Tamandua tetradactyla: one gene and its partners. The protein of the gene in region 3 purifies or fractionates together with the protein of the main gene of each other region. This does not show direct contact. Links are inferred from orthologs where the notes say so. Each region holds a gene or a part of one and is shown on either strand. Other genes may lie near its edges.

What was found. Proteins that work in one complex are often made in the same cells at the same time.
Region 1: the proteins of DVL2 (region 3) and PELI2 purify together in Homo sapiens (affinity purification with western blotting; 3 studies listed by BioGRID, with this or other methods). This does not show direct contact. The link is inferred for Tamandua tetradactyla from reciprocal best matches to the Homo sapiens genes DVL2 and PELI2.
Region 2: the proteins of DVL2 (region 3) and IQGAP1 purify together in Homo sapiens (affinity purification with western blotting; 3 studies listed by BioGRID, with this or other methods). This does not show direct contact. The link is inferred for Tamandua tetradactyla from reciprocal best matches to the Homo sapiens genes DVL2 and IQGAP1.

Annotation. Positions count from the first base shown.
Region 1 is NC_135338.1:9,629,606-9,639,499, forward strand, and holds the start of PELI2 (E3 ubiquitin-protein ligase pellino homolog 2), read right to left. Parts: upstream 4,634-9,894; 5' UTR 4,436-4,633; coding exon 4,359-4,435; intron 1-4,358. UniProt on the Homo sapiens protein: E3 ubiquitin ligase catalyzing the covalent attachment of ubiquitin moieties onto substrate proteins. Involved in the TLR and IL-1 signaling pathways via interaction with the complex containing IRAK kinases and TRAF6.
Region 2 is NC_135338.1:98,909,554-98,919,147, forward strand, and holds the start of IQGAP1 (ras GTPase-activating-like protein IQGAP1), read right to left. Parts: upstream 4,634-9,594; 5' UTR 4,542-4,633; coding exon 4,487-4,541; intron 2,136-4,486; coding exon 2,036-2,135; intron 1-2,035. UniProt on the Homo sapiens protein: Plays a crucial role in regulating the dynamics and assembly of the actin cytoskeleton.
Region 3 is NC_135332.1:61,099,444-61,109,651, forward strand, and holds the start of DVL2 (segment polarity protein dishevelled homolog DVL-2), read right to left. Parts: upstream 4,181-10,208; 5' UTR 3,957-4,180; coding exon 3,763-3,956; intron 1,489-3,762; coding exon 1,419-1,488; intron 1,131-1,418; coding exon 982-1,130; intron 874-981; coding exon 743-873; intron 644-742; coding exon 508-643; intron 372-507; coding exon 281-371; intron 154-280; coding exon 84-153; intron 2-83; coding exon 1-1. Other genes in the region: PHF23 (PHD finger protein 23), read right to left, coding at 5,254-5,468, 5,575-6,412, 6,985-7,077, 7,247-7,278, 8,865-8,898.

The DNA of each region.
Region 1 (9,894 bases), on a different chromosome or scaffold from region 3:
GTACAGGTTGTTAAAGTGTGCGCAAGTGTGCACAAGTGTGCACATGCACCAAAGATCTCTTTGACAACCTGGTGAAGTGTGAAGCCCTTCTTGGAAAAAAAAATTAAATGCAGAAAATAAACTACGAATGATTACAAATGAAATTAATTATACTTAGTCATCAAAATAGCTTTAAAAATGTGACATACTAATAAACGCATTAATGTATTAATGCATTAAATAAAAAAACTAGCAGTGGGTCTAGTAGCTACTGTAAATGATATTTTGAGACATCTGTACAACTATAAATGTGATATGAAAATATCTGCAATTTATATTAGCCACGAAGTTGCAAGTGCTGCTAATTGCTGCTGTGTTTCATCACCTACACATATAATTGAATGAAATACAAAATTTCAGTGTTTGAGTATAGCGAAAATAAAGATGTTTTTTCTCCCCCAGCCATGTTCAAAAGCTCCCTGAGCTCCATCTATGGACCCTACGTTATGAAAGCCAACAAAAATACATGTTTGTAAAACATCGAGTGAAAAATAGAAAGCCCTGAAAACTGCATTACCCATTCAACTGTGAGGGGAGGGGAACGAAGAGAGCAAGCAATATTTTTCCAAAAAATATGTCCCATGACGGGATGTTAGTCGGCAAGGAGCAGAGCCACATGCTTCAAATCAAACCCAGAAAGGGGACCTGCTGCCCCTCGTGCAAGTTACAAATAATTGAAGCTCTCAGGAATTGACACCACTGGAATGTGCCCTTCAGTGCAGGAACCGTAACCTGAAACTTGTAGTCCAGTGATCCAGCTCATAGTTCCAGCTCAGCCTGACTCAAGTAGGAAGTTAAACAAATCTCCTTCCTGAGGCCTCAGCTTCTTCAACAGTAGAATCAAGAGGCTGAACATGTACTATGATCTCTTACGCCCCTTCCAGTTCCAAAAGCAACAGACAACTAGATCATCTTCTCCTTGTGCTGGTTATTTCAGACCAATTTAGCTTAATTCCTACATCACTGTCCTTCTTAAACTCAAAACAGAAGTTTCACCAAATTTGAATGTTCTTACGTACAACTTAACACCAGAGCCAAATATATGTAAGCCATTAACACTTTAAAAAAAACAGAAACTCAGCCTGTTTCGCGCATACCTATTTCATAAAAAGCAATACAGCATTGGCCTTTCTGCTATTAAAACAAAAGTATGAGTACTCATTTGAATTCGAGCCCCTGTCGCCACAAGAATAAACAAAACCAGCAAACGACAGGCTACTTCGAATGTGTAACTATACATTTGCCCTCATGTGAGCCAATGAGCAATATTACAGAGTGCAGACCTTAAAGGCCACCTAATCCAATCCAGTTTTGCTCTAGATAAAGAAATCGGATGAAGGACTAAACCAAAATCAAAAAGCCAGTAAGGCAAGAGAGCAGGACTTAAATCCAAGCCTTACGTATGACGTAAATTCATGCTCTTCCCTCTACACTGAATTGACTCTTAGATCCTGACACACTTTCCCAGCTTTAAAATTTTAACCAAGTTTAAACTTAATAGTAAAGAAGACATGGTGATTAGACCAGTCATTTGTTCTACCTTCAATTATGTCATGGGAATAACGAAGCATTATGGCTATGATACATTAGCTAGTAGGAATTATGAAATAGCTAAATTCCACTCATCTGCCAAGAAAGTGCTGACCCCACTAAAATCCTAACTGCCTGACATTCTCATGATATTGTGTAACATACGAAAAGATGCAGAAATATTTCAATATGGATGTAGCAGACATATATCAGCTCTTCATTCTGCTCTCCAGAACATTTCCTAGTGACATTTTACTACAAAATTCAGGAGAGAGCAAAAAGAACAAAGTTACTCAACAGTATAAATCATTGTCATAAGCAAAAGTTTCTATCAATATCAGCAATTTGGCATTTTTTGATCTCAAGAAAGAAATTATCAATAAGAATATCTACTAGGAATTCTCTATATGCCAATAGTTATGTCATGCATAGCGTTTTTATTTAATTGTAATTGTTTTAAGAGAGAGGACATTGTTTCAATTCCCAAGGATGGGATATGATTTAATAAGGATTCCTTTATAGCCCACCTATCTACTCCCTCTTTTATCTGCATTCTTCAATGATCAATACTGTTAAAGAGGTAGAAATCTCTCAAAAAAAGAAAATGACAATTCTTCTCAAGTATTCAAAAACCAGACTAAGATCTTCTCAATAGTCTGGTCTCAACTCACATTTCACCTCCTCAGAGAGACCTTTCCAGACCTCCTTGCTAAAGAAAGCAGTGTCTAGCTAAAGCAGGCACTTTACATTAACCAACTACTTGTCAGGTCTTGGAAGTGCATGAAATTATTATTTATTATTCCCTTGCTTACAAGCTTATTTCTGTTTATGCCTTTCACTCTGGATTAAATTGAAAGTTCCATGTTCCACTGCTGTCTGTCCGATGTCTAAACAGTGCTGGCACATAATAGGTGCACAGATAACTGCTGAGTATCTAGCCCCAAAGAGTAAGTCACTTTTTGTCATACTCTGTTTCTCCTGGAAAAGCATTAGTAAAGGACAAATCACATGCAATTGGCAACGCATTTACACAGCCTACTTTAGCACAAGTTTTTGATACTAGGACAATTCAGGGTATAAATCCTTTTCATGGCTTTGGAATGTCCAATACTTCCAGCTATGAGTACAAAACCTCTCCAGGCCCACTCACAACACACTTCTTTTCTAAAGCATCTCAACAATAATTTCCTCAAAAGGAAATAACGAAATAAAGTTCTGGCACAAATCAATCTTTCCTGTCAGGTTCACCATGTTGAACATACTTGGAAGACAGCCACACAAACAAAACCAAACTCTACAAAATTAAGTTGGGCTGAAGTTACATAAGAGCGACAAAACTCCAGCTTTTTCCCTGTCACTCCTCCCTTCTTCCAAGGAACCTTGACATGTGAGGCTTTTAAGTGCAATGTCCACGCAGGTGATAAAAATGCTTATCTGCCAACAGCTTCAAAACAGGTAAGGAGATTCTAATAATGGTCCACTTAGAGACTTGAAAATTTTCAGTTGTACTGGGTCTGGAAGCTTCTCTTAAAAATTCCTCTCTTTAAAATTACCTTTAAGTCCATACTTCAGGGTTTCGAAATATCAAAACCCTTTTCACACAGTTCCCTGAGTTCTCCCATAGCCACGGCTCCTCATGAGTGTGCTAAGCCTACCTATCAGCGCCTATGATGCTAGGAATACAGATCTTTCAACAAAAGCGCGGGTTCCCACGAGCGACGTATCGAAAGGAGGAAAAAAAATAATCCTTTCTCCTCCAATGCTAAACCCAAGTTGCTTCTTCCCCGGAGTTTCCTGCTCCCATCCCCCTCCCCATGCTGCTCCCCTCTCACTGCCCAGTTTATCCAGTTTTAATCTGGCAAAGCCTCTCTCCCGGTTTATTAAGGGTAAACAATAGAAATGTCACAAGGAAACTCAGGAAGTTGATCAAGTCGCTAATTGCCATCGTTTAACGATTGTAGATAATTACTATCTTCAAAATGTGGTTTGCACAAGAGGAGAGGGAGCCGAGGCGGGCGAGGTGGGTGCGCCCCCCGCGCTGTCCCCCGGGGCGGCCGCTGCCACGAGGGGCGGCCCCGCGTTCCGGTGCCCGAGCCCCGGGCGGCCGCGTCCCTCTCCCCCACCCCAGGACACTCTCGGAGGATCGGCCTGCCCGTCTGGGTCACAGACAGTTCACTGCCCTCGGGCTCCGGCTGTCCGCCGCGGTCACCATAACAATATGCAAAGCGCAGCCCGAGGACGCCCGCCTGGCAGATCGCACAGCCCCGCGGCGCCACTCTCCGAGTTGCGGGGTCCCCGGCTCGCCTTCCGCAGGGACACAGATCCCCGGGGACAGCCCGGGTGGCCCTCCCTTCTCCGCGAAGTGTGTGTGTGTGTGTGTGTGTGGCGGGAGGTGGGGGGGGGGTCTCCTTCGAGACCGCAAGACGCCCGCGGCAGCGCCGCTCAACTCCAGCCCACGGCGGACCGCGGACCCGGTGGCCGCGCGCTGAGCCCCGCGGGGTGCTGGGTCGCCCGAGTGCCCGCCCCCGGGGCCCTTCCCGCCGCCCGCGCCAGCCCCGGCGACCGCGCCGACCCGGCTCCGCCACTTCCTCGGCGGCCGGCCCCGCGCGGACCGCGCAGCCCGGCGCCCGCCGCAGCCCCACGCGCGCGCGAGCTGGTGGGGGCATCCCGGCCCCGCCGTCCCGTCCCCTCCCGCGGTCCTCAGAGCGCGCCCGCGCCACCCGACCCCGGGCCCCACTCAGGAAGGCAGGCGCTCAGCGGCCACCCGGGCCGGAGGTCTCCGGACTCACCCCAGCACCACCAGCTCCCCGTATTTCACCGGCTCCTTATTGGGGGCGCAGTGCTCCTCCTGGCCGGGGGAAAACATGGAGCCGCGCTCGGCCTCGGCCGCGATCCCCTCCGAGTCCGCGCCGCCGCTACAATCCCATCCCGAGAAGGGGGTGAGCGCGCCGGGGAAGGGCACGGCGGCGAAGGGGGCGCGAGGCGGCCAGTCCCGTGGCTGCTCCGTCGTGGCTGCGCGGCTGCCCCACCGGGCTCCCCGGAGCTCCGCGCGCCGCGGCCGCCCCGAGCCGGACCCGGCAACAAATGGGACCCGGCAGCAGGGGGAACCTGCCCGCGCCCAGCGCCAGCGCCGCCGCCGCCGCCGCCGCCGCCGCCGGAGCCCCGCGGGAGGGGGGAGCGAGGGAGGGGCGGGGGCAGAGAGCGGGGGAGGGGCGGGGCAGGGCCCGCGGGGCCGCCCTCGCGGCGCGTGGGCAGGTGGGCGCCGCGCCTCGCTGCCCCGGGGAGCCCCTGCCGCCGCCCACCCCACCCCGCCCGCTGCGCAGCGCCTGCCCGGGCGCGTGGGGCCACCGGCGCCCACTCCCCGCCCCCCACCTCGCGCCGGGCGGCGGATCGGCCCCCGTGTTATGTAAACATAGAGTAAAAGGAAAAAGAAGTTCTTAAAGGGGCAGCTCTGTTTTTTTTCTTCTGGCTTCCTTCTCCAAACTTAGAGCGCGGGGTCCTCCGCCCACGCCGCTGCGCTCTCCAGCCTCAGAAGGCTGCGCAGAAGATCCCGAAAGCGCCTCGGTCGAGGTCCCCAAGACTACTTCATGTTTTGCCGAGTTTAGTTAAATATAGATAAAGGACTTCCTCTCTAGGTCTAAAAGCGTTTGGTTCCCGTTGCCACTGTGTCGCGTCATGCGTATGGAGGTGTCGCACGCACGCATCTGGGTGCCTCTTCTTCCATAGCTAAGCCCTCCAAAGCTGGAAGGCATCTGGAAGTCGGAGGGCTTTACTCATCAGTGCCGGATTGAAGGAAGTTTTGACCCCACTCCATTGTACGCGACGTAGCCGCCGTTTGTTCTCAGCAGAGCTCCACATGGTAGAAATAGAACGAGTAGAATGAGGTGTGTTTTGTTTGTTTGTTTGTTTTGTTTTTTGAGCCTTGTTTTGTTTTTAAATCCATATTCTGTCCACATTTCCCAGAGCTTCTTTCGTTCTCCTAAGGGGTTAAGAGGAAATTCCCTGCGTGGAATTTTGGGTAAATCAGTATTCCTTTAGTCCTATGATTTAATCAATACACCATGTTTACTTTTTATACCTTTCTAAATCGTTACTGTATTATTATGGCTCTAAAATATTTTAGAGTTATAATAGCTTCACTGGCTGCTGTTTTTCCTCATCCTGGATTTTATTGTTTCAAAGTTTATTAAGCACTCATAACATTCTAGAACATCTGCATATTATTGCCAGCCACTGCCTCTCAAGACCGTTAAATATTTAAAGAAATAAGTACTGCCATAGCTACCCTGTGTTTAACAGTGACTACTTGGCTATGACCCTAAGTAAAGGGCCAGGAACAAAGTAATTGCATCTGTAACTTTCCAGTCTGCTCAGCACCCTTTGTGTAACATTGTGTGACAGGCTATTATTACAGTGACAACGTGCTTCAGGTATTTTTATATGTTAGTAACTGATTTTTTTTTTAATTGGGGCTTGGGAAATAAAGAAGTTATTCTAAAGTAACGAAAGCCATACCGTTGGTAAACCAAAGCTAAAATTTTATTCAACGATTACCTTATTTCAGCTAATGCTAGCAATTGCGTTCTTCAACTCAATACAGCTAGTCTGTACATTTTACATATTCTGCATATGTTTGTGCATACAAAACTCACAGCTTTAACCAACCGGCTTTTACGGAAGGACTTTTTTTCTCATAGTGTCTTGGTGTGCTTTTCTGCCTGAACTGCTTGATTAATGTTGTCTCCATCTACTGTCTTCTCCTACTTATCATATAGATGTGTGATTAGCAAAGATCTATCAGACTTATGCAGCAATTACACAGTTCCCTGTTATTACAGTACCTGGCTCTGTCATCCTGACTTCTCTAGGCCTATTCTGTTTCTGCTGCTGTTCTCTAGGCTACAATTACCTCCTTCCTCCTTCTCTCTTGGCGTGCTGTGCTTTTGTGCGTTACATTACACTGTTCTGTCTCTATTTCCTCCTTGCTGTGCTCTGCATCTGCTCTTCAGAGAATGGAAACCCATATTTATTAACTTTCTACTAAGTCCCAAATACTAGACTGAGAGTTTCCCGTAGGATGCCCCAATGTTCGAAGGCCCTGCATTCTAGCTACCTGCCCACTCTGGCCCTGACTTCCCCAGGTGCGTCCCTCCCTCTCTACTCTTTCAGCATATCTTCAGGCGTGGTTACTGTGCTCAGTCAGGTCTGTCTTTACGGAGATCACTTGAAGTGCTGCTTCTGAGAGTTTTTGAACCAAGGGAGGCTTTTTATCCTAGGCAGCTCAGGGCTGCTCTATTAGTTTTATGAAACACTCTGGCCTCTAAAAGCCCCGACTGGGGATAGCAATCTATCAATCAGGGCAAAGAATGCATTCAGGGGCCAGGCAGGAACCCCAAATGAGCAAACTGTCTGAGAGGAGAATGACAAATTCGTGAGCCTGTGCCATCGAGAAGGGGCATCTGCCACCCATCTCTGGCCGACCGTTGCCATATGACAATGCCAGCTCATGGTTGCTAGATTTAATTTTTTAAGAGAAGCCAGAAATCCCTATCTCATGCCAAATTTCCCAGTTTTTAACTGTCCGTAACTCATTCAAGTGTGAAAAAAAAGTAGAGTATAGGCCCACACAAAACCATGTCTCTATTTTGCCCAAGGACCCAAATTTTCTTTCTCTGATTTCAAGGAAACACCCATGGGTAAAAGTAAAGGGACGTTTCTGAAGTGGGATCAGATGGCAGGGCTGGGAGGGTGGCAGGGTGGTGGAGAGTAAACTGGAGTATCTCAGAGCATTGGTGGCTTGTGTCCTGAATTATTTTGCTCTGACCTCCCCCCTTCTCTGCCCCTCCCGCACGAGTTGTTCACAACTTAAACCAATTAGAACATTACGCTCAGCATCCCCAGCTATACGAGGAATCTGATTGTAACATGAATTTATTCCTTCTTGAATGTAATTGTTTTAGTTAGTAGCTCCAGTCTGGTGGGACAATCTGGCTGTACCATCTGCCATCCTACTGAAAGCCAGGGTGGGTCTGGCTGACCAGGGTGCCAGGGTAGACCCCCACTCCCCGCTTGACTTTCCATTTATGTCCCACCTCCCCGCCCAAAAACCACTCTCCTGAAGAGAATGACCCACCCACAGCATCCCAAAGGGAGTTGATGCCATTTCTTGAGCTACCAGAGGCCATATGATTACTCCACAAATAAATTATGTAAAGCTTTCTCTTGATTTCTTCCCCTGTTAACGTCTACCTCTTTTAAGCTAGAATTAAATGATTTAGTGGGGAAAAAAAATTATGTTTGCCTTAATTATACCTTAAATAAAATCAGTTAAATAAGCTCCAATATTTCTAAAATTGAGAGTCTAATATTTGGTCATCCGACTTGCCACCTTACATGCTAATGTTTGCCAATACTAAAGAGTAAAAAGACACTTTCAGAAATATGTTTGGGTAGACTGATTAGGACGCTATATATATATGTATATATATTTGATGAAACCTTGGACTGCATTTGGTTTGTAAAATTTTATTTTTTTTATAATTGGAAGAGTCACATAAGCTCTTTGTCAACAATTTTGCAAACATGAAAACAAAATTTTTCTATCTTGTTTTAAATAACCCGTAATTTCATTACCCAGAAAACCACCCTACTTATCATTTTTGTATATTTCCTTCATTTTTTTCTTTTTAAATTTGGACATAGTTGTGACAGTACTGTGTACAATAACCCTTTGTGCAGTCTGTTATCCAACCTTTCTTTACCTGATGCTATCTTGTGAACAGTTTTCTCTTGCCATTAAAACTTCACAAATTTTTTTTGTGGTTTCATCATTTCTATCAAAATTTATTAACCTTTCCCTTCTTATGGAACGCTTGGAAAATTTATAATTTTTCTGTTACAAATAATAAACATATTTATGCTTGTTATGACTGCATGAGCACTCATTCCTACAAGTGACATTATTATATCAAAGGGCATAAATATTTTTTAGACTCTTTGATGCCTATTTCCAAAACGTTTTTTGAAACAGTTGTGCCTGCCAATTTACACTGTAACCAGCAGTGACTGAGAGAACCTGCCTCAGGGAACTCTCTAGAGCATTTTTGAATCCTTACTAATTTGACAGATGATAATTTTTTATTTTCATTGTTGTCATTGCTATTGTGAGGTACCTTCACTTTTTACACAGCGAAGAATTGGGTCACATGGAGCTTGGGGTCAATGAAACCGCAGGTGTTTGGCAGATGAACTGCTTTCAAGCAGGAGCCACCTTAACGGAACCTGTGCAGTTGATTTATTGAATCTAAGTGAACTATTAAATACATTTTCCAGCTATAGTTCCAATTTGTTAGTTCCAGACAATCCAGTGAATTCTTTTTATCTGCATTCTTTCACACATATTTTGGTTATGTTCATGGGGAATACATCCAGATGGTAGGCAATTCAAATAATGCAAGAAAGGAAAACAAAATGTCTTAATGCTACTTTTGTCCTACAGTTCTCCTCCCTAGTGGAAACTGCTGCTGTCAATTTTCCGTGCATTTTATCGGTGATATTCTGTATGCTTGCATGTGTGTGTGTGTACACAGTTTTTAAGAAAATACTACAAAAGGGTAGCACACTATATACACTACTCTTAACCTATTTTTTTCACTTAACAAGGAGCAGATGACTGAATGAAAAGGTGGCGCCACTTGTGCACAAGACCTGAAGGGCTGGCATTGCATACAGAGGGGACAGCAAATACAGATACTCCAAGGGCAGAGTGAGATTGGCATACATTAGAACTAGAAAGAAATCCATGTTTCCGGAGCTTTGTGAAAGAGCAGGAAAGGAGTAAAAGGTGAAATTGCAGAGGTGGTAGGAGGCAGGTCATATAAGGCTTGAGAGTAATGATGTAAAGGTTTGCTTCTCTTTGATATTGAAAGTCGCTGGAGAACTGGGTGGGGTTGTTGAAATTATTTAAAAATTCATCTAATAATTGTGCTTAATTATTAATTAATTAGATATCATGAACGATCATAAAATGCTTTGCTAAAATCAAGATAAAACTTTTAGGAGCTATATAATAAATGTTTTTTGAATAAACCATTTACTTATTCCTTTCTTATCCCAAGTCTAGAGTTCCCGTGAACAGTGCATGGAACCTGTAACAGTGAGATATTCCTAGAAGAGGATGTCCCTTCTTGCATTTACCGCTGAGAGAGGCGCTGAAAGAAAGAGGTTCAACTAAAGCACCAGACAGGCATTCACGAGACGGGAACCCTAAGAGAGCCGCAGAGAGACGGCTGGATTAGGAATCAGAGACCTCAGTTCTACATCCCT
Region 2 (9,594 bases), on a different chromosome or scaffold from region 3:
CTTCCTAAGTATGCAAACGTACCCAATTAAAAACCACCCCAAGGGATCATAGTCCCCTGGATGGGTTTCTTAACTGGAAAAAAAAAAAATCTGACAGAAAAAAGCATGCTTCAGAGTTGACACAAATGAAATGCCCTGCTAGTGCAGCACCTGAGGCAGGATATGTGATAAAAAGCATCATGCTATTCAGCCTATCAACACCCAGCATAAGGCAGAATTCTAATCAGGTAAGTGAATATTTTAAATCCTGCTTTTCAACTAGAGGGACCAACAGAACCACCAGAGGTATTTAAAAAATATGGGTGTCAAGCCCCTCCAGCTCAGACCTACTGAATCCAAACCTCTGTGATAAGGCCCAGATATCAGTAGCTTTCTTTAATGTTCCCCAGGTAATTCTAATGCAAAGCAAGTTAAGAACCATTGTATAAGTTTATAGAGAAAGAACAGGAGAGGGGGGAGGTGGGGAGGGGGAACTGTTGTTTGGTACATAGTGTATCTCTAAATTTTGAAATAAAATTTATTTGAAAAGAAGAAAAAAGAAGGGAGGGAGGGAGGAAGGGAAGGGGAGAAAGAGTTACTGTATAAACTAAAGGAAACCTCAGTCAAGAAAACCACAAGTAGACTAAGAAAACTTGAGCCTTACTTTCTTCACTGAAATGAAATGGTTGAGCTAGATTCATGGTGGCACTGGGAAAAGGGAGGTGTTAGCCAGGACACCTTCTATAAAACGGGAATTTTACGGTGGAAACCAAAGATTAAAGCAAAAGTAGAGCTGCTTCAGACTGAGGGAAGGACTGCGTGTTGGAATTCCTCCTCCCCATTCCTGGGCTGCCTCCTGAGAGCTGCCAAGGGTCCACAGAGCATGAAATAATCCCCTGGACCACAGGCAGCTTTAAATCCTCTGACCTTCCAAAACTAGATACTCAGAATTTAAGTGGCAGAGGGCCTACAAACTTTATATGCCCAAACATCCCTTTTCTAGTAACATACTCACCTCCTGCTGGCTGACCTTTCCTTCTAAATCATCACTAATTTCCCCCTCCCATCCCCAGTCTTTCAGATGCGCTTTAAATTCAGAAAAGAAGCCTGGGTCTAAAGAAGACACAGGAAATGCATACTAGTGGTCGCTCTAGGAGAAGGAAGAAGGAAAACGGGACCAGGGACACATACAAATGGGACTCCTACTGTCTATGTTTATTTCTTTTTAGAGAAAAGGGAAAGATCTGAAGTGCAGTAGATACATGAATGTTTGCTCTATCGTTCCTTGAACTTTTCTATAGACTTTTAAAGTTCTCAAAACTAAAAAGAAACACTCTTATATCTTAGCACCATTTGAAGCATCCTTGATTTTTATTAAATTTTTATTGCAAGTGTCTTTCTTTAACCCTCCCTACTCTTTTCCACCAAAACTCTGACTTACAGAATATATGATCTGTAATTACATCTGTCTACCCTGGAAAGATGTAATTGCAAAGGAACCACAAACACTGGGACAAAAGAACTGGACCTTTGATGGTGAAATGAATCCATACTCGAAGAGGAAGCCCACAAAACCCTGGAGTACCTGATCCTCGCGAAGAATGAAGAGGATGCCACCTTTAGTTACCTGTCTTTTATCACTGCTCCCTACTCCTAAGCCTCCTAAACCACATACCCCTCCACTGCCATGGGGAGAAAGGAATCAACTCATACATAAACCAAAACCAGTGATAACGAGACATTAAAAAAGCCAAGAACTTCAAATTCTAAAAATGCTATTTCTTTCCTACAGCTGATCATGTCCAAAACATGCACCATAAATATTAAACTGAACAGCAAAAATCTGAAAATTCTTCAGTATACATAAATGTCCACCAGTGTTTCATAATAAGCTGCCATCAAGACCAGTCGCTCCCATGAGTAAATAACATGCCTATATTTATTCCTTAGACTATCAGCCTCAGTCACACCTACAACACATTCAGAGATCTTTATCTGTATCCATATCACATCAGTTTCCTTCTCCCAATCGTCTCTCCAGCCAGCCAATCCTTACCTCTTTGCTTCTTCCAAATGACAAAGGTACTCATAAGCCACATTCTGACGTCTCCTTTCATCCATCTCCTCTGCAGTAAGTCTCTCATTATCCAGGACAGCTGAAACATGAAAAAGAAGAACGTAAACGTGGGGCTCTGTAACCTTCCTGATCGATAAAAGAATGCCAAAGCATCAAATTCCTGTGAGTCACTAGAGGTTCAAGGTAACCATGGGCTGCATGTATCGCCAGGTGCACTACAGTGGCTTTCCTGAAACAAGAATTGAGGGGTTTCAACTACACTAATCTTACACTCTCTTCTAGGTACAATATGAGCACGTACTCAATTTTAACGTGACCTAGAAAAATACTGTTTCTTGAGATTTGGGCCTAAATTTGTCCTTGTCTGTCTGCCAGAACTCTTTCTAAATACAGATCTGACCCTGTTGTTCCCCTATTTCACGAACAACCAAAGCCAGCGGTTACTGAGAACAAAGTGGCAGTAATTGTTCTAAGCGTTTTACATGCATCCTCTCATTGAAACCACACAACAACCCTGTGATTATCACTCCCATTCTACAGATGAGGAAAGTGAGGCTGGGTGAGCTCAGCCCCACAGCTAACGCAGGCAGTCTGCCTCCAAAGCCTGTGAGCTTACCCTGGAAGCAATGTGCCTCCTTCACGGACACCCAGAGCACCCTAACTCCTTGGCAGAGCTAGATTTCTCAATCTAGCCCCAACAACTAGCCCCAACAAGAGAAACACATCTCTTCCCTCTCCCTGCCCTTTCCCCACCACTGTGCACAGTGCCCTCCTCTTTATGACCTTCCTTCGTGCTCTTCCCTCTTCATGTGTCTTGCCCCACCCCACCCTGTCAAACTTTACACATCCTCCTGGACGTCGCTGCTCAAGTGTCAACACCTGTGCTCACACTGCCTTCTTCAAACCCTCCTCTTCACTCACTGTTTACTGCTTATGACCAGTCAGGTCACACGTACTTTATCTTTACCACACCTTATTATCATTAGGTTGCAGACCTCTTTGTCTCTAATTTTAAATGTTCTTTGAAGGCAGGACCTAATCTTGCCCATATTCAATTTCCCAGATGTGGCACAATCCCTCACACATAACTGTTTAAGAGCAAAATTATCTTAAAAACAAAATTTTATTCCCAAATATAAATACACATGAAACCGCCAAAGACTCAAAAGGACCCCCTGTGGCCGTGGTACCAGCCCCTGCAGTTTAATAATGTCTCATGGACCCACAGAAAAGGAGGTTCCAAGAATGAGGAAGTCCAAGGGTGGATTTTCTTTTTCTACTTTTCAAATCCTGAAGAGGGAACTAAACCCTAGAAAGCTGAAGTGACTCGCCCAAGGCCGCACCTCCCCACTGGCCTGGGAGCGCACAGGACCCCCGAGGACGGGACAGAGGCCACGAAGACAGGACAGGGCCCCCAGACCCAGGGACCCCTAGGACAGGGCAGGGACCCCGAGGACGGGACAGGGACCCTTGAGGACGGGGCAGGGCCCACGAGGACGGAGCAGGGACCCCGAGGATGGGGCAGGGCCCCCGAGGACAGGGCAGGGACCCCGAGGACGGAGCAGGGACCCCGAGGATAGGGCAGGGCCCACGAGGACAGGGCAGGGACCCCGAGGATGGGGCAGGGCCCCCGAGGACAGGGCAGGGACCCCGAGGGCGGGACAGGGACCCTCGAGGATGGGGCAGGGCCCACGAGGACGGAGCAGGGACCCCGAGGACGGGACAGGGACCCTCGAGGACGGGGCAGGGACCCCGAGGACGGAGCAGGGCTCCGAGGACGGGGCAGGGACCCCGAGGATAGGGCAGGGCCCACGAGGACGGGGCAGGGACCCCGAGGATGGGGCAGGGCCCCCGAGGACGGGGCAGGGACCCCGAGGACGGGGCAGGGCCCACGAGGACGGAGCAGGGACCCCGAGGATGGGGCAGGGCCCCCGAGGACAGGGCAGGGACCCCGAGGACGGAGCAGGGCTCCGAGGACGGGGCAGGGACCCCGAGGATAGGGCAGGGCCCACGAGGACGGGGCAGGGACCCCGAGGACGGGACAGGGACCCCGAGGACAGGGCAGGGCCCACGAGGACGGGGAAGGGCTCCCGAAGACGCGGTAAGGCCCGGGCTCGGTGCCCAGGACACGCCCTGTGCCGTCCTGCCGTCCCCCCCGGCCGTCTCTCCGGGGCCGAGCGGGCGGCGGGCGCTGGGTGGGGCTCCGGGGTCGCAGCGCCCGGGCTCCCAGGGGCCCTCCGGGTCCGCCCGCCGCTCGGAGCCGAGCAGGGCGCAGGGACTCGTCCCGCCACCCGCGCTTCCTGCGGCCCAGCCGGCGGCCCTTCCGGGTCCACGCGGCCCGCACGCCCTGCCCCACCGCCCCAGGCCGGGAAACGGCGCCGCAGAGGCAGCGGGCCTGGCCCCGGAGCCCCCGCGGAACCCCGCACTCACAGCCATAGTGCGGCCGGGCCACGCCCAGGCCGTCGACCTCGTCCGCGGCGGACATGGCGGCCGAGCCGGGTCTCTGCTGAGGAAGCGGAGAGACCCAGGACGCGCGGCGGGGGCTGCAGCTCCTGCCAACTGCGCGCGCGGAGGCGCCGGAGGCCCCGCCCCCAGGCCCCACCCTGGGGGCCCCGCCCTGCCGCGCCGGCGGGAGCGGGCGGAAGGGGGCGGGACCGAGCCGCAGGCCCCGCCCCATCCCGCCCCCTGGGTGCGGGCCCCCTCCCCCACGCCCCGCGCCTCCGCAGCAGCGGCCGGAAGGAGGCGGAGTCCGCCCGCCGGGTTTGCACCGACTGGGGCCGCCCCGGGCCTCCGAGACCCGCCAGCGGAGCCACCGCCCTATCTGCAATTCTAAGGGAAGGGCCGCAGAGTCGGCGGTTTGAAATCAAAACCGTGGGCCACCTCCCTTTCCCTGCCTGCTGAGCCAAGCAAGCTCCTTTACATCTTACTTTTTTTCAAGAAAAAAGGAAAGGGAGGCATCCATTATAAAGATATATATGGGCCGGAATTGCAAAAACAGGTCTGATGGAAGCTTGAAAGGATGGCTCTATTCCTCTGGGCATCTCTGCCTCTCTGCAGGTCTGTTCCACCCTCCTCGTTGTGGGAACCAGCCTTCTCCGTTCTCATTTCTCCGGCTCCTCCACAGCTCTGGCTGAGGAGCACCTTGATTTTCCAATTCCATAGTCCACAGAGTGGCATATGATTGGACCCAGTCATCTTTTTACCCCATAGCTAAGTCTCTGGCCATCCATTGACGGGTTGTCTTTGGTTCAGATGTTGGCTGATCTTTTACTTCAGTCCACTGCGGCCAGGAGGTATGGCCAACTGAGGAATAAAACCTAGGGGCTGGACATTATTGCCTTCAATGGGATGGTCCGGTAGGCAAACAATGATCATATTTCTAAGATGATGGTTAAGTGAAAAAAAAAAAAAAACCAAAATTATGAACCAATAAACATAGTATGATACCATTTCTTTTTCTTTTATTATTTTTATTGACAAATCCAAACAAAGTACAAACAGGAACATTCTTAACATACAAGTATTTCATACATGGTGTACAATCAATAGCTCACAATATAAGATACCATTTTTGCTTGAAAAAAATAGAAAGTACTTAGGATGGAATATACGGTGTGTGAATATATCTCACTGAAATTGCATTTGCAAAAAAAGAAAAAGAAAGAGATGCATATGAATTTTAAAAAGCCATGAATCATATACACCAAAATGTTTAACAGTTATTTCTCCAGGTAGCAGAATTACAGTAGAATTGTATGAGAGGTTTTGTTTGTCTGCTTCTCTGTGTTTCCCAAGTTTTCTACAATGAGCTATTAGAGATACTATTTTATCAGCAAGTATAAATATGAATAAAATTAGTAAATATAAAATAAATACATGGTGAAACAATGAGCTAAATAGTCATTCTGAGTAAAAATGGTTCATGACCTTGAGGCGCTTAAATGCTAGTGGGAGTAAAACAATTAACAGGATAACTTGAGATAAGCATCATGATAGAGATTTCCCTTTACCTGGAATACTTGATAGACTTTTACCTGCCTTGGAACACATACTCAATTTTCCAGACTTAACTTAAATGTCACCTCCTCCCTCAAGCAAAATTAATCATTTCCACATTTGTCACCCAGAAGCAGTTTAAAAACCATATGTCTTCAAAAATAAGTCCAAGATTTTCACATTTTAATGCTTTTGAAATCAAAATAGTATTTACTAAAAGACAGATACCAGGTAGAGAAGTATATTGTAACATAATTGTCATTGCTTGCACATATGTAAACTTAACTAATTTCTCAGAAAAGGTCAGAGAAATTTCAGAGCTAGAATTGATGACAGGAATGACTAACTAGGTACAATAGAGTTGGGCTCTTCAAAAAAGCTTGGCTCCAACTTTGATTTAGAGAAGAGGTTGATAAGTAATCCCCGGGAAGATGTATGTTATTATCAATCAAGTTTTTAGTGTGTGTGTGTGTATATATATATATATATATATATATATATATATATATATATATATACATATGAATGATAGGATATTTCTTAATGGCTCCAAAAGCTGTTTTTATTTGCTGGTGTACCCTACAGTGAAAGGTGTCTTCAACTCCAAGTGTACAGTCATATATGGCTCTATTATAGCACGTGGCCCATTGAATTATTTACCTGTCCATCTTCCCAGACAGATTATTAATCCCCCAAAGACAGAAAATCAGGTGAAAAGAAAATTCATCATGAATAGCTAACAAATACAGGATTCTTACTGTTGAAAATTTAGGATTTGATTTCTATATAATTCCCATAGAAATTTCCCAGAAGTATGGTTTCCCTGGGACAGAGAATAACACTTCTGATTTGATAAGATGTCTCATATAAAAACATATTGGGCTTTTGGAAGCCAGTTTCCTGTGAAGAGGCTGGGAAATCTGAGGCAATAGTTTCTCAATACCCCTGAAGATGAAGGGTGAAAGATGCTGAGGGCTAACTTTTCATAGAATTGTAGCTATTCTCTGGAAGACAGATTTCTAAAATGGCCACCTGAGTCCCAGTCCTAGGTATTCAATCAAATATGAATCTAGCTTTACCCTGGGGCCTCCACCCAGGCTGGATCTCCTGAAGGGCTCTGGACACATGCGAGGGACCACTAGGGATTTGGGGCAGGATTTCCCCACATCATGCCTCTTAGTATTTACTAGGGTTGACAAATGGCTTACAAATAACAACAGCTAACTTGTAATGAGTGCCCAGCCCTTTCTAAATGTTTGGTATTCATTCTTTCATTTGACCCTCACAACCACCCTGTAACATAGGAATTACTAGAATTCTCCAATTTAAAAATGAAGAAACTGAGACTCAGAAAGGTTAACTAACTTTCCAAAGACTACACAACTTGTCAGTGGCACAGCCAGGATTCAAACTGCACTCACCTCAAGATTGGTGTATATGAACACTATTATCCACATGTGTGTCAACTGTAGTGCCCAGTAGTGGCTGCCAAAAGAGCTGAATTGAAAGATTTGTCCAGATACATCTACCAAAAAATGTGATGGACCCAGACATGACAAAGAACTCATGAGGAGTTCACACATCAAGACAGAAATCTGGGAGTACTGATAAAGTGTGGTGGTTTGAAATGACGTATGTACCCTAGAAAAGCCATGTTTTAATCCTAATCCCATTTCGTAAAGGCAACTGTTTCTTATAATCCCTATTCAGTATTGCATGTTTGAAACTGTAATTAGATCATCTCCCTGGAGATGTAATTTAATCAAGAGTGGTTGTTAAACTGGATTAGGTAGGGGCATGTCTCCAACCATTTGGGTGGGTCTTGATTAGTTTCTGGAGTCCTATAAAAGAGGAAACATTTTGGAGAATGAGAGAGAGATTCAGAGAGGGCAGAGTAGAATGACATAGCCACGAGAAGCAGAGAGCCCACAAGCCAGCGACCTTTGGAGATGAAGAGGGAAAACGCCTCCCAGGGAGCTTCATGAAACAGGAAGCCAGGAGAGAAAGCTAGCAGATGATGCCTTTCTCACCATGTGCCTAACAGCTGAGAGAGAAACTATGACTGTGTTCGCCATGTGCTTTCCACTTGAGAAAGAAGCCCTGAATATCATCGGCCTTCTTGAACCAAGGTATCTTTCCCTGGAGCCTGAGATTGGACATTTCTATAGACTTGCTTTAATTGGAACATTTTCTCAGCCTTAGAACTGTAAACTAGCATCTGATTAAATTCCCCTTTTTAAAAGCCATTCCATTCCTGGTATATTGCAATCTGGCAGCTAGCAAACTAGAACATAAGGTATGAGTTGATTTTGACTAGATGATATGAGTGTCCTAGAAAAGATATTATGTGGGCAGGGCTTTCAGAGAAGACCAGAGGGAAAGGTGAGGAAGAGTACTAGGTGGAAAAAAAGCATAAGCAAAGCCAGGAAAGGATTTGTATGGGCATTGTGTGCATGCATGTATATATGGGCTCTCCATACTGCTTAGCTCATTCCAGTCTTCTCGAAGGGCAGGAGCCATAGGATGCTTCAAAAGGTCCAAGAGGAACCTTTTTGGAAAGATGTTCACCTTCGGCAGAGAGTGTGACTTTCTCTTTCTTAGGTACCACGGGTTGTAGGATGGGGGTGGTGGATGTAGACTTTTGGTGTCAGGGGTCTACACCTAACCTCCTTCCTGCCCCCCATAATTGCCCTCTTCCTTTGTCATTCTTTATTCCCTTTAGACAGGTATTTTGTGTGGCAGAAAGCTCACTTCCTTTATTGAATGTCACTTTTTATGTCTTCTCCAGAAGTGGCATGCAGAAAATCTTACTGGGTGTTCTAGTTTGCTAGCTGCTGGAATGCAACACACCAGAGATGGATTGGCTTTTAATAAAAGGGGATTTATTTTGTTGGTTCTTCAGAGGAAAGGCAGCTAACTTTCCACTGAGGTTCTTTCTTACGTGGAAGGCACAGAATGGTCTCTGCTGGTCTTCTCTCCAGGCCCCTGGGTTCCAACAACTTTCCCCGGGGGTGACTTCTTTCTGCATCTCCAAAGGCCTGGGCTGAGCTGGGAGTGCTGAGATGGGAATTGCCGAGCTTCTTAGGCTGTGCTACATTGTGTTCTCTCATTTAAGCACCAGCCAATTAAGTCAAACGTCACTCATTGCAGCAGACACACCTCCTAGCTGACTGCAGATTAATTAGCAACAGATGAGGTTCACGTACCATTGGCTTATGTCCGCAGCAACAAGACTAGGTATGCTCACCTGGCCAAGTTGACAACTGAATCTAACTAACACACTGGGCCTCTCATGAGATTACAGACAAACTGAAGAAATTTCTACCACCACTTATATTTCCAGAGCATTCTAGGGTAGCAATGTAGAATACTGATTAAGTTATGTAAACATTAACAGAAAAAAATGGGAGACACGCACACACATGCAGCAACATTCCTCCCTGAGACTTCACAGCCAATAACCAGTGCCTGGTCTATAAAGAGAGTGGCCAGGCTCAAACTGCTCCCTCACAGAACAGTGATGGGCTATCTGGACCATAAGG
Region 3 (10,208 bases):
TCTATGGAGGGAATCCATGTGACAAGGGCAGGGGAGGGGTCACCAGGTCCTTCCCAGCCCCAAGCCCCAGGCTCCCTCCATACCCATGTTGAGTGTGACCGTGATGATGTTGAGAGACATTGTGGAATCAGTGACGCTGCTGAAGGACGAGGTCTGCAGTGGAGAAAAGCGGAAGGAGTGGAATTCCCTTCAACAACCCCGGAGGATTCTCACTGTCTGCACCCCAGTACCCCCCAAGCCAAGACCCATGTCCCCAGCTTCCCCGTGGGGACCCCCTCACCCTTTCCAGGCGGGGCGGCCGCTGTTTCCTCCGCCGACGATGGCGTTTGAGGAGGCGGGAGGCGCTGCTCTGCTCCGTGGAGCTGCTGAACCTGCCAAGGGGTTGGGAAGGACAGTGCTTGCAGGAGGAAGAGGTCCCGGGAAGAAGGAGAGGATTAACAGGAAGGAGGGAGGGGAGGAAGGAGGAGGGGGGCTGGGAGTCCTGGGGAGAGAGCTGAGGAGCCGTACCGGCTCATGGTGTCATCCTCGTCTGAGTCCCCCAGGCTGGTGCTCTCCAGCTCACTGGTCATTAGGGTGGAGGAGCTCTCATATCCAGCCAGATGGCGCTCCAGCCTCGAGGGGGCGCTGGGCCTGTGGCCCCCACCTGAGGATGAAGAGGAACCTCAAGAGCCGGGCTTCAGGCTCTGAACACCACCAAGGCTCGGGTCTGGCACCCCCCCCCCCCCGTCCCAGCCCCCCTCACCGCTGTGCTCACTGCTGTCTCTCCGGCGAGGTCGCTCGCGCCTCAGGGACACTACTGACTCCGTCTCTGTCTCAGGGTCCAGATTTTCCCGGCTGCTGGATACATTAGGGCTAGAGGGGCAAAGATGGTTTCTCCCCCGCATCAGGGAGACAGGGCTCCAAATCCTCAGTTTCCCCTCCCAAGGGCCTTAGGCTCCCTCCTCACCTTCCTCCCCAGACTCAAGAATCCCCAGGACTCACTGGAAGGATGGAGGCCTGGAGTCACCAATGCCGCTGGTCCTCTCTGGTGGCAAAGGGGGTAATGGTGGTGGTGGAGGCACCTGTTCTGCCCGAGGCTCGTGGGCTGGTGGGGGAGCCATCTCTGGTTGGGGGTTATCTGATGACACTAGCTAAAAGGGTGCAAATAACAAAACGGGCTCAATTGGGAGGCAGGGCATGAGTGCTACGAGTAAGGGAGAGGTTTAGAGAGTCTGAGAGACTGAGAGAGCCTAGAGAAGCGCCCAGAAAGCAGCAGCAAGCAGTAGAGGCTCTAGAGGAAGAAGGCTGAGGGGATCCAGACCCCAAATGGGCAGGAAAGCAGAAAGTCAGGGCCTCCACGACCGAACAGAGGGCTACAGATGCTGGGGGGAGCTGGGCAATGTGGAAGGGCCTGGGCCCTTACAGTCAGGGCCCCTTACCCAGGAGACCACCCTTCCATTGAAGCAGGGAAGGCGGGCATTGTCATCTGAAATTTCTTCCTTCACCACCCTGCAAAGAGATAAGATAAAGGTCAATGAGGCTGGGCAATTTTCCCCCAGCTCCCATCCACATTTCAAAGTTTCTGCATCCTCCCAACCTTCCAGCAGCTCAGGGATGTTGACTTTCTCTCCTTATCCAAGTCGTATTCTTTTACTCTGCAACACCTCCCTCTTGCCCTGAGAAGGCTCTAAACTCAATTAATTCCCTTTCCTTATTTTAACTTCTCTCCCCAGCTCATCCTTGGGGGCTCAATGCTACTGCAAAGATTTCCTTGAGTCTGATTCAAATCTCTCAGTCCAATTGAAAAAACCACCCTCCCATGGCCACCCCAGGAGCCCAACATATCCAACCTTACCAGCCTTGCTGGTGACCTCATCCCACCCCCATTTCTCTTCCTCACACACCTACCCTAAAGGCTTTGGGCTTCATCTCTCTAATCATGCTCCCCTTTATTTTTCTTTAACTAATCTTCCAGAGATCTATCCAAACGTGCTGCTTTGCTAGGTGAAAATAGCCATTAGTCCAAAGAACAGCACTTCGCCGTTAGGCTGAGCGGTCCCACAGCAAAGGAGCCCATCCTCCCATTCCCATGTGCCTCACGTGGCACAGAACTCTGCAGAAAGCAATCTGCTCAAAAGGGAAGCCCAGGCCTACGGGTCATCTCTCCACTGGGTTCCTTATGGTAGACTGGACTTGGCCCTTCTTGTCAAGCACCACATCAAATGAGGAATGCCCTTCCTGTTGGACACCAGGCCCTGACCACACAAGCTGGTATCCAACGCTTAGGAAGCGTTAGCAAATATTTGACTGAATGAATAAATAAATGAACTATGAGACTCTGGTTTCTCTATTTCCTCTCATACACACATTCTCACACCCAAATTGGGACATCCTGTTGATTAATCCTTTAGCCTAATATGGGTTCTGAGAGCTTGGATATATGCCAACTTAATCCATTTGCTACCAGCATGACCTGTTCTGTATCAACACAGCCAGTTACTACTAATCTCAGTGTAATGTAGTTTCCGTCCCCAAATCGCAGTCTCAGGACAGCCCAGTGACTCCAAGACAAGTTATTCTGTATCACTATAACCTAGTCTAGGACTAGTCAACCTTGATACAAATAATGATAATTACTAATCACTGAGAATTTACGTGTGCCATGAACTTCCACTAAGCATTTTATTCAGAGATTATCTTCATTTCACAGTTATGCACATCAAAGTCCCAGAAAGTTAAATATGTTGCCCAAGATTACAGTGCTGACACATAAAAGAACATTGATTTAACTCCAAGGGAACTCTCCAGACAGCACTGCTCTCCCAGTGTCAGTCAGCCCTTCTAGGTAGAACACAGTCATAATTCTTCAAGAACTCAGGCTATCCCAACTTAATCTAGCCTGCCTCCAGAAGCACTGAGACTGAGTGCCCCTGAGGGATTGTCCCAAAGGCTATATAAAAACATAAGGGCTTGCTCTGCATTACAAACAGCCTAGGGTTAGCCCAGGATAGTCCAGAAGGTCCCAAATTACTCCAGCAAAGCCCACTGTAATCTCACACAGCCTAGAACACCCCCCACCTGCAGCTGTCTACAACAGTATAGACTGAGATATCCCCATACAGCCGTCTGTACTAGTATAGACCCTAACTGCCCCAGCTGCCCCAGTATCAAGTATTCTAATAAAACCACGGCGGCCCCAAAACAAACCAGGATCAACCATACAAGTCTGTCTAACCCAGGAGAGACCAGAATAGACCACGTTTCTCCAGAACAGCCTAATCTACTCCACGACAGCCTGGAACATCCCAAAACCGCACTGTCTGCATTAGTAGAACCTAGACTGTCCCCCCAAACTATCTCATTATAGGCCCGAAATGTCCCAAATTGCCTCATGATAGCCCAATCTATCTCAAGAGATCCCTGTATACTCAGGGTGCTACAAGACTGCTCAGAAGGTACTCAACTACCAAAGGACAGATCCATCTAGTTCAGGACAGTCTACCCCCCAAATAAGCCCGTGTGCCCCGCTCTAGTTCAGTATAGCCTAATCTTCTCTAATCTGGTTTAGTACAGCCCAGTCTGCCCTTCTACAGCTAGCTCCGTGTGCCTCCATTCGCCGAAGCATAACCTTGTCCGTTCCGGGAGAGTCAATCTACCCAGCCTAGAACAGTCTGCTCCACGAAGCCCAGAAAATCCCAGTATGGTTCAGAACAGATCTGTGTCCCTCAATATTGCTCAATCCACTCCAGCCCCCATCGGTCCTAGTCTAGGCCTCGCGCTCACCCGAAATCTTGATCCATAGACTTGAAAAAGTACTTAGCGCCCGCGGGCCGCTGCAGAACGCTCTTGAAATCGCCCAGGGTGATGCGCTCGGCGGGGACAGGGATCTTCACCAGGTAGGGAGTCTCTTCCTCATCCAAATGGTAAATCACCTTCGTCTCTCCGACACCACCAACCCCCGCACCGCTGCCCGCCATGGTCTCGTCCGCGCGCTCCCGGGCTCCGCCGCCCACCCACCCGGGCTGCTCGCCCACGCCGCGCCTGCGCACACCCGCACACCAAAACGCGACAGCGGACAAGGCCGGCAGCGTCCGAGAAGTGCGGGAGAGAAGATAGCGGGTGGCGGGGGCGGGCCGGGCGTGGGGCACTACCCAGAGCCGCAGACTTCGCCGCCGACGCCGCGAGCAGACACCGCTGCCCCGCCCACCTCTCCCTGTGTCACGTGACCCACACCCGGCCTGCCTCGCGCTCCCCGCTGTCCCTCCGTCACGTGACTTGTCCCGATCACGTGACCTCCTTGATTCCTCCTAGCGCCCCCGCCACATGAGCGCTGCCTTCAGCAACGGTCTCCCAACCCTCAACAGCCCCACCCGAAAATGTGTCCCCACCCGTGTCTTCCACAGCACCCGGGCTGAATCTGGCTTCTGCCCTCTGAAACAGGTGGCCTACTCCCACCCCGCTCTACCTCATCAGGGCGGGAAGCTCAAGACAACTCTGATCCATTGAAGTGTGCTTGTGGGGGGTCTTAGACTGGAGATGAGGTGGGGCAATGCGGACCCAAGTCCTACCCTGGGGTTGTGCAGTTATCCGATGGTAAAGACCCACTGCAGGGGCATTTCCAGCCTGGACTTTTCTTCCCACTTTTCCATAGCCTCCCTCCCAAACAGGACAATCAGTGAGAGCTATAAACACAAAAGAGCCCATTTCGCTTTATTTACAACATGTAGGCTGTCTGTACAGCTGGCCAATATTATTAAAAACAAAAGAGGTGAATGAGAGAAATGTCACCTTTCTGCTTTTCTTCCTCCCTCAGTCAGGCTCTGGTACTCCACCTTTGAGCGGCCATGCCCAAAAGGGGAAGCCCAAAATTAAAAATACAACCGATGTTGAAGAAAATAAACAGGGAGATAGGAAGAAGAAAAGATGAGGAAGGGGCGGTGCTCTATTTACACTAGAGTTTACAGACAACTGCCTCATCCCATCCCAATTTCAACCCTGGCCCAGAAAGTGAGGCAGGCCCAAGAGGCAGGGATTTTGTGTCTAGGGACCCAGACAACCTCCAACCCCAACTGCTATGGATCCAAATTCAAGTCCAGAGGGTGGGGAGGAAGATAGGGTAGGACCATGAGATACTCATTTCCAAACAAGCCTCCCTTGGGAATTCCTGCCTTGAAGTAGGACAATGTCCAAGCTCCAGGGGATGGGTTGAGGACCCTGAGGCTCAGTTCCCAAGTCAAGTTGTCAACTGGAAGTCCCAGCCTGGACTTGGTGATGTCAAGGCTCTCCAGATTTGGGGGGTCCCCCTAACCGCCGGGCCTCTGGCCGCAGTTCCTTGCATTTCTGGCAGTAAAAGAAGTCAGGGACATTGGTCTTCTTAATCTTAGCACAGGAGAGATGGATCCATGTCCCACACAGGCTGCACTCAATCATGGGCCGCCCTGCAAAGGGTTTTCTGCAGTAACACGTGATGAGATCCCACGAGTCATCACCTAGGGAAAAGAAGGTTTGCTTGGTGTCCTGCTTGAGCTCTTGGGGGCCACGACTTCCCCAAGCCCCTCCTCCCACCTGCCCCTGGGCAGCCCCCAACCCCCTCACCTGATTCTACCATGATGTCCTCATCCATGACCCGCATCTCCCCTTCACTGGAACTGGCATCTCCATCTTGGCTTGTTTCAGTGCTACCCACCTCCTTGCTTTCACTGTCAGTGGGAGGGGCTCCTTCAGGAGGCCCTGTGGCAGGGGGTCTGGGAGCCTCCGGGGGTGTTGGGAGTACAGGGGCTGGGACTTCACCCCCTACTACTGCTGCCATCTCCTCTTCCTCCTCCTCTTCTTCTTCTTCCTCCTCCTCTTCAGAGTCTGTATCACTAGGGGGTGCTCGGGGAGGCCCAGGAGGTGGTAGTCTATCCCCCCGCTCTGCCTTTTTCAACTTCCGTTTCTTGCTCTTCTTGATTCGAGACCTCTTTTCCCCATCTCCAGGGGCTGACCGAGGCCTCCGAAGCACCCCAAAGCCAGACCCCCCTCCTGGCCCCAACTTTCTGTTCTTTCGGTCCTTCTTTCGAGGAGGTTGGGAAAGGTCTCCCTGGGAAAGGGACACTGGGGTGAGGGCAGTAGGGGGCCGGGAGACATGTGTTAGGGATGTGGGAGAGAGTGGAGATGCCACTTTGGGCCCATCCAGATCAAAGAGAGAGTCCTTGAGCTTCATCTTCTCAAGTAGGGTGGCACTGTCAGGGCCCTGCAGGCGAGAGAAAGTGGCCCTTGGAGGTCCTGGCTGGGTGGGACCTGCTTGAGCCGCCCTTCTCTTGGATGATTTTGCTTTCTTAACAAAGGTCTGGATGGTACGGAGATCTGAAGGGGCCGAGTCCCAGCCATCACTGTCTGCTGCACTCTCACCTCGCAATGGAGAGCTGGAGCCAGAGGCTGGCCAGTCACTTTCCTTAAAAGAGGAAGAGACCAGGGTCAGCAGGGGACCCAATGTCATCCCTCTACAAACCTAACCTGAAAACTAGACTGTATCTATGCCAAAATATTGTAGCCATCCACCAAATCTCACTCTATTCTGGAAACTTATTTCTACCCCATCCTCATCTCTTGTTGAGCACTTCATGTTACTTCTGCCTTCAAATTCTAGCCATCTCCCCTGCTGGGGCAATTGGAACACTGTTACCCAGACCCATGTTTCTTTAGCTGTATCTGTTTAGCCTCATTTGTTACCATTTTCAGCTCCCTAAAATGTATCCAGAAGGACCTTCCATTCACAGCATCCCAAATACCATTCAAAAATCTTGACTAAAGACCCAAGAACCAAGTTCAGCCTCTTCCATTGCTACCCAAGCCACCTATTTCCAATATTCTCCCAGATACTAATTTTCTCACTACAAACCTAGTTTCCAATTTTCCTAGTCTTACATATAATTTGTTAAACTCGCCTGTAAACTAATACAATTCCATTTGCTCAAAAGCCCTTCTGGGCTACCAGCTTCAAGCCAAGTGTTCTCCTGTCCCTACCTCTTTGCTAGGGGGGATGTAACCCGCATAAGCCAAGACAAAACTGCAGAATTTGTTGAAATCCTCAATTGTTCTCCGGCGTTTCTCTGGTGGCTGAAAGGAAGGAAACATGGATCACATGGAGACCAGAAGCTGGGGTTTCAGAGGGGCATTCCCAAAAACATAGTTCCTGGAATGAGGAATCTGGGAAAGCTGTGGGGATAGGGGGAAGAGCTGGGAAGCTAGAAGGAATATTGGGTTGCAAAGGCAAGGGAAACCTCACCTGAGTCTCTGGCTTAAGGGTCGGAGGTGGATCTGTGGAAGCAATAAAAGCTGAGTCAAGGTACTAGCAAACAGTCCATGCAAACCCCCCACCTTGAAACTTTGGCGATCCCAAGAGAACCCCCTCTTCTGCCAGGTCATCTGCCAGGCCAGCAGGCCCCCAGCTGTGCTGGAACCGCCGCCGTTCACCTCCCACCCCATGAGGGGCGGAGCTTGGGCGCGGCGCCCTCCCAGGCCTCGCTATACCGCTCCCCTTCCCCCCACCGAAGGCCCGGTGCCCCGCCTTCCCCCACAACTCACGGTTTCCCTAGATTCTAGACTACTCGGATCTCTTAGCGCCCCACCCCGCCAAACAGCACCCCGGGCCGAGTCAGTTCGCCGCCCGCCCCTGTCCTTCACAACGTGCCCAGTGTCCCGCGTTCCTGCCCCACCAAGCGCTACCGCTCCAGGCCTCCGGGATCGCACACGCCGCCCGCCGGCCCCCAGGATCCGATATGACCACGCCGAACCTCTCCCCGCCCTCCGGCCCCTTCAACTCGAGCACGAGGCCTGGCGTGCCCCTCACCCCCACCCCAAACACACAGACACACACATCACGTCCGGGACCGACCAGAGGGCTTTAACCCGGACGCTGCCCCACCTGCCCCCCCACGCCGCGCTCCCCACAATTTCGCCGTCCCTCCGCCCCCATCCGGGGCTTTGGCCCCTCCCCGTCTCGAGCTCCTTGGGTTCCCCGCCGGGCCCCTGGGCCCAGTTCCGAGCTCTCACAGGCCGTCCCCCCTCCGCCCCCGTACTCACCACCAAGTCACTAGGCTACGGACCCCTAAACTCTAGGCCCCCCTCCCCCAACCAGCGACTCTCTCCCTTCACAGCAACCCCCGCCGCTGCTGCCGCCGCCCCCTTCGCCCGCCGCAACTCCCAGGCGCTAACCCTCGCCAACCAACCCCCCCTCCTCCGGCGAATCGCCGGTCTTAAGCCCCCACCCCCACCCCGCCCCACCGCCCCCTGCAACTACCCAGCTCTCCTTGCTTCCCGGCCCTCTCTCTCCAACTACCCATCGGTACAGGTCCCTCTTCAGCAGACAATACCCAGACCCCTCTTACCCCCCACAACTACCTGCCCACTCCTCCAGCAATCACCAGGCTATCTCCGGCGGCAACTACCGGGAGCACCGGCACCACCACCACAAACTCCCCCACCCCGGCGAACTACTGGGCTCCTCACTCAGTCCTCTTCCACGACCTCCCTCCCCTGCAACTCTTTGGGCTTCAGATTCCCCCAACCTCCCAGCTCTGGGGTCCCAACCTGCGGGAGGCCCTTTCGGCCCATAACCCCAGAACACGGAGCTCCGTGTTTCCAGCTCCCACCCACCCCCACCCCCGCCACACACAAACACACACACACACACACATACTGTCTGATTTCCAACTACTCCCCACCTAGTCCCCACTCCTATTTCTCCAAGGTCTCTCAACTCGTCGCTCTCCCACCCCAGGGGCAGGCCCCCGACCCTCTCCCGGCGCTACCCCGCTGGGCACCGGGGCTCGACCTCCAAGTTTGCCAATTGGTTCCTCGCCCGCCCCGCGCGGCTCAGCTCTCTGTGCCGGTCTAGAGCTCACCTTCGGGACTGGGCTCCGCCATGGCTTCCAGCATCGCCCCCTCCCCTCCTCCGGGTCCGGCGCTCCCCTCCCCTTAGCCGGGATCCCGGTACCGCCTCCGGTGCTCGGTGCTCCTACTACCTCGCTCCACGGAGGTGTCTGCCTCGGCCCGGTTGTGACACGAGTCCGCTGGCCGCTGCCGCCACCTCCCTCTACCACTGCCTCCCGCACTCCCGGACCGGGCCCCCTCCCCCCGCGCCGCCGGCCGCCTGCTCCCTCCTCCTCCTCTCTTCTCCCTCCCTTCTCTTTTCTCCCCCTCCCTCCGTCGGCGCCGAAGCGCAAAGCACCAAGGGGCTTGTAGTCCGACATGGAACAGCGGAAAGAGGATTGTATAGGCCTCCGAGACTACAGTTCCCAGCAAGCCAGAGGCTGGCACAGGCGCACTAAGCCGCTCCCCTCCCCCGGGGAGTGGCGGGGATATTGGGAACAAGACAGTAGAGCGGAAGAGCGCGCACAGGCTCCTGGGAAATGTAGGCTGGGCGGTCCCAAGAAAGAAGAGGAAGAAGGGATTAGAATTCTCGGCCACCATCGGTCTCATTCGGCATCTTTTTTCTCCCCCAGGGTACCACCCCTCTTCCGGCCAGGCAGAGGAGAGATTTCTGGGAGATGAAGTTCTCCTAGTGATAATGGCTACCTTTCCCCCATCTTCCCCTCCATCCCTTCCCTCCTCCCGCCCTCCCTCGGATTCCACTCCTTTGGAGCCCACAGGTCAAGACGGAGTCTGGCCAAGTGACAGGCAACTGAGGACAGTTTTTTTTATTCCCGCCCACACATAAATACTCTTCCTTAATCCAGAAGTTCGTAACAAACTTGGATATGGTTATCTAAAGCAGGTGCTTTCAAACTTTCTTCACAGGAACCCACAGTAAAACACTATTTTTTACATCAGTACCCAATAAACATGAATATAAAACTGAAGTTTCATAAAATGATACTGAGAAGCATTCTCATTCCATCACCCATCATAACAAAAGCACTCTTTTTCATGCAGAAAAAATCTCAAAAGGATAAACCAAAATGTATTTCTATCCCACAATTTGCATCCATTCCTCTCTCCCCACCACTGAAGCCCATGACGCCTGAGAAAGGCTAAAGGGAGGGGGGGGGTAACACAAGGCAAAAATCAGTTCAGCTTGGTGGTTTCCTCTTTATTGATGTGCCTCCTACCATCCCCCCACAATTTCAGTCCCTTCCATCTACCCCCCCCCCAAAAAAAAGGTAGTAAAAAGAAGGGATTGTTGGGGTTCTGGACCCCATGGGCAGTTAGAAAAGGAAGAGAAACCAAAACAGTCACTAGATGTGACA